Linked DNA regions of Notamacropus eugenii. The protein of the gene in region 2 interacts with the protein of the main gene of each other region in a biochemical or structural test. Links are inferred from orthologs where the notes say so. Each region holds a gene or a part of one and is shown on either strand. Other genes may lie near its edges. The genes, in order: XIRP1 and FLNC.

Region 1 (3,909 bases), about 350 Mb from region 2:
CAAGACCCCACAGTAATACAAGAGGTTTGTCACTTGCTGCCTGGTTGCATCAGACTGGCATCGGTGCCTCCATGATTATGAGCCCTACAGGAACCGTCTTGGAGAAAACTGCCCTGGAGAGTTAGGGCAGTGACCAGTCCTGGAGTTGAGGCCTTCCTCCGCCTCCCTTTTCAGAGGCCTCCAGTCCCCAAACAATAGGCAGACTTTCAGAGAGGTGGGTTGTCAGATGGGGGATGGTGAGGCCCCCTTGTCAAGCCCCCAAGTAGACATCCTTGATAGGTTACTGGGTCACCCAATTACTTCCCAACTGTCATTCTAGGGAAATCGAGGAACTGGGCAGGTGGTTAAGTGCTTGACCTTTCTGGGCCTTATTAGCAACCTAGATAAGTAATTCAGGGCCACAGGTCCTGTGTCCAGTCTCCCAAGGGGTCACTCACCCACACCTACTCAAGCCCTGGATCCTACACTGGCTCCTTACCAGCCCCTCCCTACTTTAGTGGCTAAACAGCCTCTGCCCCCTCCACATCCCAGCATATCTATCCACATCTCCATCTGCCTTGGTCAAATCTGGTGAGTCACTGCTCTGTTGCCCAGAGCCTCTACTAGCCCAGTCTGGCACCAGACTTACCCCCGCCCTGTTGACTTTCCCACTCACTGGGCACTGACAACAGCCCAGGGAAGCTTAATCTAAGCTGTGGTGGCTGAGAGCCAAGGAATAGGGGTCAGGGGGAGGGGGAAATCTGCCATCTGAGTGATCCCAGGAGCCCCAAGCCTAGAGCAGAAAAGGGACCTTGGGGGCCACTGACCCCCTTATTTTATGGATGAGTAAAATGAGGCACCAAGAGTGGGAATGATTAGCCCAAAGTCACCCGGGTAGTAAGTAGTACACCAGGGTTTGAATCCTGGTTCTCTGACTCCAAAGATGACTGAGGGCACCTGGAAGGAAGGTTCAGGAAGGTCCCTTTCCTGTATGAAGCCTCCTTTGGGGTGGAAAAGGAGATGCCAAGGGATCTATTCTTGGGGCCAGAAATGTAAAGACTTTTCACCCCAGACAGCTGAGGAGCTATGTGTGTCAGGGGAGGGGCCTGAACCTAGGAGGGGTCTTGCCCTTAGGGGGCAGACAGCCAGGCCCCTCTGGGGCTCCCTAGACAGGGAGGGCAACCTCCATGCTGGCTCAGCAGGTCCTGGGGCGCCCCAAAGCCTGCTCTTCCCAAGCTCCCAGCTGAGCTCAGCAGGGCCAGGGAGGGAGAGAGACAGGCCCTCCCAGGCTAACCTTGTCACTTCCCAGATCAGAGGACAGTCATGCCACAGTCTAGAGACCAGGGAATGGGGCCCCAGCCAGAGTTCAAAGGCCTCCCTTTCCTCACTGGGCATTTATGGAAGAAGAGGCTGTGGATGAAGCGCCCAGGACACTGCAAGGGACCTAGGTAACCCAATGCCCAGCATTCCTTCAGCATTCCATGGGATGGGCTGTTTTAATTCATCTTCTGAGGTTTTCCTTTAGTGGATTACACCAGATTTATCTCCCTCCAGTTTGGTGTCTGACATCTCCCTTCCCCAGCTCCCAGGCTTGGTCCTCTTGCTTCCTCTTAAGCTAGTTGGCACTTCTGCCTTCTCTGAGTGTTCACACCCAGGGCTAAAGCCAACAGGTCTTTATGGGCTCTGAGGATCAGCTACTTCCAAGACTGTTTCTCAGGATGCCACCCTAAACCCAGTTTCTGGACTTTGGATTTGCACACAGTTCCTCAGGCCCCATGGGCTGCAGGACACCTCCTTAATATCTGCGACTTCTGAACCAAATGGGGCCCACTCTGCCAAGGTGGGATTTGGGGCATTTAGCTGTAAGGGAGTCTTCCAGGCTTCTTCTTTCTTCATTTACAAGACAGCTAATGCAGGCAAGTTACTTTCTCCAAGTCCTTACTTGATGGGAGCCAGAGGGCCTGGAATCTGTCTATGTGCTGAGTCTCTTGATCCCAAGTCCCTCAGGGCAGTCAGGCTAGTCCCTGGGCCTCTCACCCCGGAACCATGGAAATCTCCCAGAGGAACAAGGCTAGCGTGTTCCCACCCCCCGCTGTCAGATCCTGGCCTCCCGTGGCCAGCTCTTTAGATGTTAGTCTCAGAGTCTTGGGGAGAGTGAAGCTTGCAAGGGGAGATCAGAGCGAGCTCCTGACCTCCCTGTTCCTTTTCCCCATCCCTGCCCTGACTGGTGCTCAACCTGAGGGCCATGGCTGCCACCCCCGGGAGATGAGGAGACCCTGGCCAGGTTTGCCCAAGGAGATGAGAGAATGGCTACTTACGTGGGGGGCCCTGGAAGCCACTAGGGCAGGGGTTTCTGGAGAGATGCTGGGCTCAGGAGGAGTCTCCGAGGAAGCTGACTCTGGTGGATCTGTCCCTCCGCTTTCAGCTTTCACTTGTCTTGGCTCCTGTGTCCCCGTCTGCGTCTGTCCAGCTCCTGGGTCTGTGCAGTATGTGGCCTGACAGCTGCTTTTATCTGGTAGAGCCAGGCTATGTTGGGAGCATGAAGCTGGCGTGTTATTTTTAGGGATTGTAGAAGTTGCTATTCCATCCGTCTGAATCAATCACGGGTCCCTGAGCTGGACTGGGGGCCCAAGCACTGGGGGTGGGGGGAGGGGATGGGGGGAGGTGCCTCATTCATAGAAAGCCTGCTCTCTGTCCCCGCCTGTGGGGAGCACTTGATCCATTGGTGACTCAGGTCTAGAAAAAGGGACTCAGTCACATACCAGGAGTGTCCCAGACTATTTGAGGGGGATGAATAAGAAGGGACCTCCTTTGCCCAGCATGACCCATCTCCACCCCTCCCTGGGACAAATCCTAGCTGCCTGTCAGGGCCCAGCCCAAATTTCTGCTATCCAACAACAATTTGAAAAACGTATTTAATGTTCACTATGTGTGTGGTCTCCCTGAGAAAATGAGGATGGTAGGCTGTGGGAGATAGAGGAAATATGTGGAACCTTCCAGGGCACCCAGGGCAGCCCAGGGCCCACTCCTTACTTTGGGCAATGCCCTCCTGAGCTGCCTGAAGAGGGATGTTTCTTCCAGGAATAAGAAGGTGATAGTCCACCCACCTCTGGAGGACTAAGGGCAACTGTGGGCACTGGGAAGGACAGTGACTAAGTGGAGAATGTTTACAGGAGGGCATTGGGTATGGGGGGGGCGGGGCTTGGGCTGGACCCTATAGAAGACTCAAGGGGATATAAGCTGTCTTCATGGATGTGAACCGTGGTTGTGTGGAGGAGGGATTAGCTTGGTTCTGCTTGGCCCCAGGGGGCAAAACAAGATCAAAGAGCCCATTTAGAGTCAAGGTTACCAAAACATCCCTAAGATTTAAAGCCTCCTCAAAGTGAATTGGGCTATTTTGGTAGGTAATGAGTTCTCCTTTCCATGGAGAGTTCTCTTTTTCTGTATTCGAGCAGAAGCTGGAGACTCACTCCTTGGCTGTATTCTAGAGGGATCCTAAAATCCTGACTGTGAGGAACCTCAGAAGCACTGAGGGGTTCTCAGAGGAAGAGTTCAACCTCCTCATTTGTAAAATGAGGAAACCGAGGCCCAGAGAGAGAAATAGGCCTCCTCAAGATCTCAGAGGCAGGATTGGAACACAGGTCCTCTTGATTCTAGTCCAGTTTCCTAGCCACCATCCCATGCTGCTTCTCGAGTCCCTGCTAACTGTGAGCTGCTGGGATTCTGTGACTTTCTCCCATGTGCATTTGCCTGCACAGCCTACACCTTGAGAGCAGTCTGCCTGGTGACATTCTCTGTTCTGTGTGTGTGCACATGCATGCGTGCACACATGAGTGCTTGTGTCTTTGAAGACTAGGGGAGCCCCTAGAGTGAATGACTGACGTTGAGGCTAGGGACTCCGCCAACTGTTTGGCTGATGGATGGATGGTG
Region 2 (3,909 bases):
AATAAACACTTCAGGCTTCATGAACTCTGGATGGCACCCTTATGGTGGGACTCCTTATTTTTAGCTGATAGAAACATGTGTCCTTTCTAAATAGCTGATCCTGTGGTATGAGAGTCCTCCATAACTGTACTCTTGTTCAAATCACATCCACAGCTCCCTAGTTCTGCCACTGCCCTTTCCTTCCTCTCTCCCTCCCCTTTCCCTTCCCCCACACAGCCCTGTCCTGATAGAAACCAGGAGAAGGGAATTCTACTTTCTGAGTTCCTCCAAGTTCCGGGCAGATGTTACTGGTTCTCTTCCCCCCCCCCCCCCCCTTCCAGCTGTGCTCCTTTTGCCTCAACCCTCCTCACACACAACTTCAGGCTTTGGTTACACTCAACATTTATACTCCCCCTTCTCTGTATATGAGGACTCCCCCCTTGTTCCCTGCCCTTTGCTTGGGAGGTAGGAAAGAAGAATGGATTTGCTACGAAGACCCTTCTTAGGTAGGTAGAGGAAGGGTAAGGACAAGCAGGGGTTAATGTTTCCTATGCTCCCTCAGTGCCTTTTTAGGTTTCAAAGGCTGGGTCCTACCCCCTTCCCCCCTCCCTGGAAAGGCCCCCAGGGGCTGGGCCCAGCTGCCAGGCACATGCCTAGCATGGGGAGACAAGAGGAGGGAGAAGATGTCATTGCTTCCTTCAGTACCACCAGGCTACCCCAGCCCCCAACACCTCACCTCACTTAAAAGGAACTCTTGGGAGCTACCTCACCATCCCCGTCACTGCCAGCGTGGGGAATGGCTAATATCCTGCCTCCTGGTCTCCTCTCAACCCTACACTTAAAGTTACTGTTTTAGTGACCCCCAAAAAAACTGAAGAGAGGGACAGGTGCTTTTGAGGTGACAATTTCCAGAAGGGGAAACTGAAAAGATCCCATAACTGTTGGACCTGTTAGCAAGGGTCTGGCATGGGAAGACAGAGAGAAAAGGTGATGCAGGTGCAGGAGCCAAGTTGGGGTGTGTCGGGAATGGGAGGGGGAAAGGCAGAGGAAGGGGTGAGGCACATGTTGATGTATCCCTTCCTCGTCTAGTTAAGAGGGTGTGTGTGTGTGTGTGTGTGTGTGTGTGTGTGTGTGTGTGTGTGTGTGTGTGTGTGTGTGTGTGTGTCTGTGTGTCTGTGTGTCTGTGTGTGTCTGTGTCTGTGTGTGTGTCTGTGTGTCTGTGTCTGTGTGTCTGTGTCTGTGTGTCTGAAGGAAAAAGTGCTGCGCCTTTGGGTTGGTGTGGGTAGGGGAGAGCCAGTGATTTTCTCTGCTCTAGTAGCTGAACCCTCCTTCCTCCCCGCTCCCTACTAGGGCTCCCCGACTACTTCGCCCTACCCCAAACCCCACGGCCTCTCCCAATGGCCAGCGGGTTCAAGCCCACCACGGAAGGCTCCTCCCCCAAGCTCTTTCCACCCGCCAATGGAAAGCCCCAAGGTCCCCCCTCTCTCCCTTTCCGCGCGTGGACACCGCCCCGAAGTCTGGCTGGGGGAAAAGCTCTGCCCCTGGGCACAGGCTGCCCAGGACCCTTCTTTCCCCATCCCTTCCCGTCCCGTCCCGTCCCGACCAGCCCCTCCCCGGGCACTGACCGATAGACACGAGCTTGATGTGCTCGCGCTCCAAAAACTCGAGAGCCACGGACACGTTTTCGAGTTTCATCTGGCGAAAGTTGGGCCGCGGGTGGAACTTGCGGTACATGCGCTTCTGGCTGAGCACCTCGAGCAGGGCGATGAGGCGCAGGCCGTCGCTCAGGTCCCGCTGCAGGTCCCCCAGGCGCTTGCCCACGCACTTGAGGTGCTCGTTGCACCAGCGGGTGAAGGTGTTCTGCTGGATCTTCTTCCACGGCGCGTCCTCGGCCAGGTCCTTCTCCGCGGACGGCATCTCCTCCGCGTCCTCGCCCAGGCCTTCGGGGTAGTTACTGTTGTTCATCGCGATCGCCTCGGGGGTCGGGCGAAGGCCAGCGAGCCTGAGTCCGGAGGACGGGGCCGAAGGCGGCTCGGCGGGGCAGGGGCTGAGACCAGCGAGCCTGAGTCGGGAGGACGGGGTCCGGAGCCCGGGGCTGGGCTAGGCGCAGAGTCCGCGGCTGGCTCCGGGGAGCTGTCCTGGGAGCTGCGGACTCTTTCCCGCACTTCGCTAACTTCTGCCTCTGTCTGGAGCTCGGGGGTCCGTCTCCGTGCTCAGCCTCGGGCTTGGGCTCCGACTCTCCCTTCCTTCTCCTCCTCTTCCTCGTCTGCTGAGCCTGGTCTCTCTCTCCGTCTGGGGGGGCGGAGCGGTGCTCTGGAAATGCAGGGCCGGACCGAGGGCGGGGGGTTTAAGAAGACCCTGGGTCGCGGGGGGGCCCCCCTCCCCAGGCTCACGTCAGAGCGCCGGCCTCCCAGGAATGCCGGCCGGCGGGGGGTGAGGGCAGGGGCGGGGAGGGGGGCCGGAGAAGGCCCCGCCTACCCCCTCAGTAGCCTGGAGGATCTGGAGGGACAGGGAACCAGAGAGGGTCTTCCCCAGGTCCCTCCTCCTACTCTCATACCAATCTGATTCCCCCATTCCCAGTCGGAGGAACAAAGGTTTGTCAGTAGGACGCTGCTCCCCAAATCCCCTGCGCCAAGGTCAGAGATGGGGGAGAATAAGGAAGATGGAGAGTACCATAGGGCCTTCTCCTCCCCCCTTCTGCTCCCCTCCCTTTCTCCCCCCCCCATATCTAAGCTGAGTCACAGGTGGGGATGAAGTCTTAGATGGGGGGGAGGGGGAAGGAGAAACAGACATGACTAAGACTTAAGAGACAGATTGGGGAAACTAAGGTCTAATGGAGGGGGTTGGAATTGGGAACAGAAGTCTAATATTGCTGGAGGTCTCTGGACAAGTATAAGTCCAACTATGAATCATCTATGTCAGAGTCCTGTGGGGTAGGAGTATAATATTTGGGTAGGGGAGGAAGAAACAGGATAATAACATGGAAATAGAGGCAATGGCATTATCTGGCCGTGAAGAGAAGGTTTTCCTAAGAACTGCCTTCCTCTATTATTCTGGGATTGAAGTACAGAGGCTTCCTTTTGGGCTAGAATGAGTTTTCCCCTTGGTGATTGGGGCTAGGGTACTTACCCTGCACTCCACCACCACCCCCCTTCCCATTTAGTGTCATCAACCCACTTAGGATCAGCCTCAGAAATGGGTGAGGAAAAAGTTCTGATGCTGGGCCATGAGTCACCTCTCTCCGCTCCCCATCCCCCCAGACCCCAGACCTTGACTCAGATGGTATCTCCAGGGACAAGAGTCAGGACAGACCTTCCCCTCAGTGGCAGGGAACCCCCCCACCCCCATTCATTGTGCCCATCCTTGGCCAGAAAGGAGGACTGTCTGGCCAGCCAGTCAGGGAGATCCCTGTTGGCATAGGCCAAGGGGGAATGTGAGCTGAGGTTGTGCGAAGGCTGGTAGAGATAGGATGGAAGTAGAGGGAAGCCCTGGAGAGAGGAAAGCAATCAGACTGACCCTTCTCAGGGGAGATGGGGGGAGGATGGATGGGGGGAGACTAATACTAGGGAAATCCATGGCTCTTCCAGGAATGGATGTTGGCCCAAATGGTTGACAAATTTAGGGAAACTGAGGAATAGAATAGGTAATGGTCTTCCTTGAGCCCCAGAGAGAAACAGGCATGACTCAATCTAGGTTTGGATTCATCCTTGCTACCCCTCCTTTCTTAACAGTTCTAGAATAGTTAGAATAGGGGATCTGGAGGGAATTAGCTGCACCCCAACCTCTCCATGATAGGCAAATGGGAAGACCTCAAACCAGATAACTCCCTGACTCAGTCAGTGTTGCCATCTTCCAAAATGGTAGAGCTGAGGAGACTTTTGGAATGTTTTAGGGGCCATTGTAGTGAGTGACTCACCAAGTTCTGTGAGG

Evidence for each region.
Region 1: the proteins of FLNC (region 2) and XIRP1 form a complex in vitro, tested with the Homo sapiens proteins (2 studies listed by BioGRID and IntAct, with this or other methods). The link is inferred for Notamacropus eugenii from reciprocal best matches to the Homo sapiens genes FLNC and XIRP1.

Annotation. Positions count from the first base shown.
Region 1 is NC_092874.1:473,849,569-473,853,477, forward strand, and holds the start of XIRP1 (xin actin-binding repeat-containing protein 1), read right to left. Parts: upstream 2,519-3,909; 5' UTR 2,298-2,518; intron 1-2,297. UniProt on the Homo sapiens protein: Protects actin filaments from depolymerization. Required for correct cardiac intercalated disk ultrastructure via maintenance of cell-cell adhesion stability, and as a result maintains cardiac organ morphology, conductance and heart beat rhythm.
Region 2 is NC_092874.1:121,303,084-121,306,992, forward strand, and holds the start of FLNC (filamin-C), read right to left. Parts: upstream 2,316-3,909; 5' UTR 1,945-2,315; coding exon 1,605-1,944; intron 1-1,604.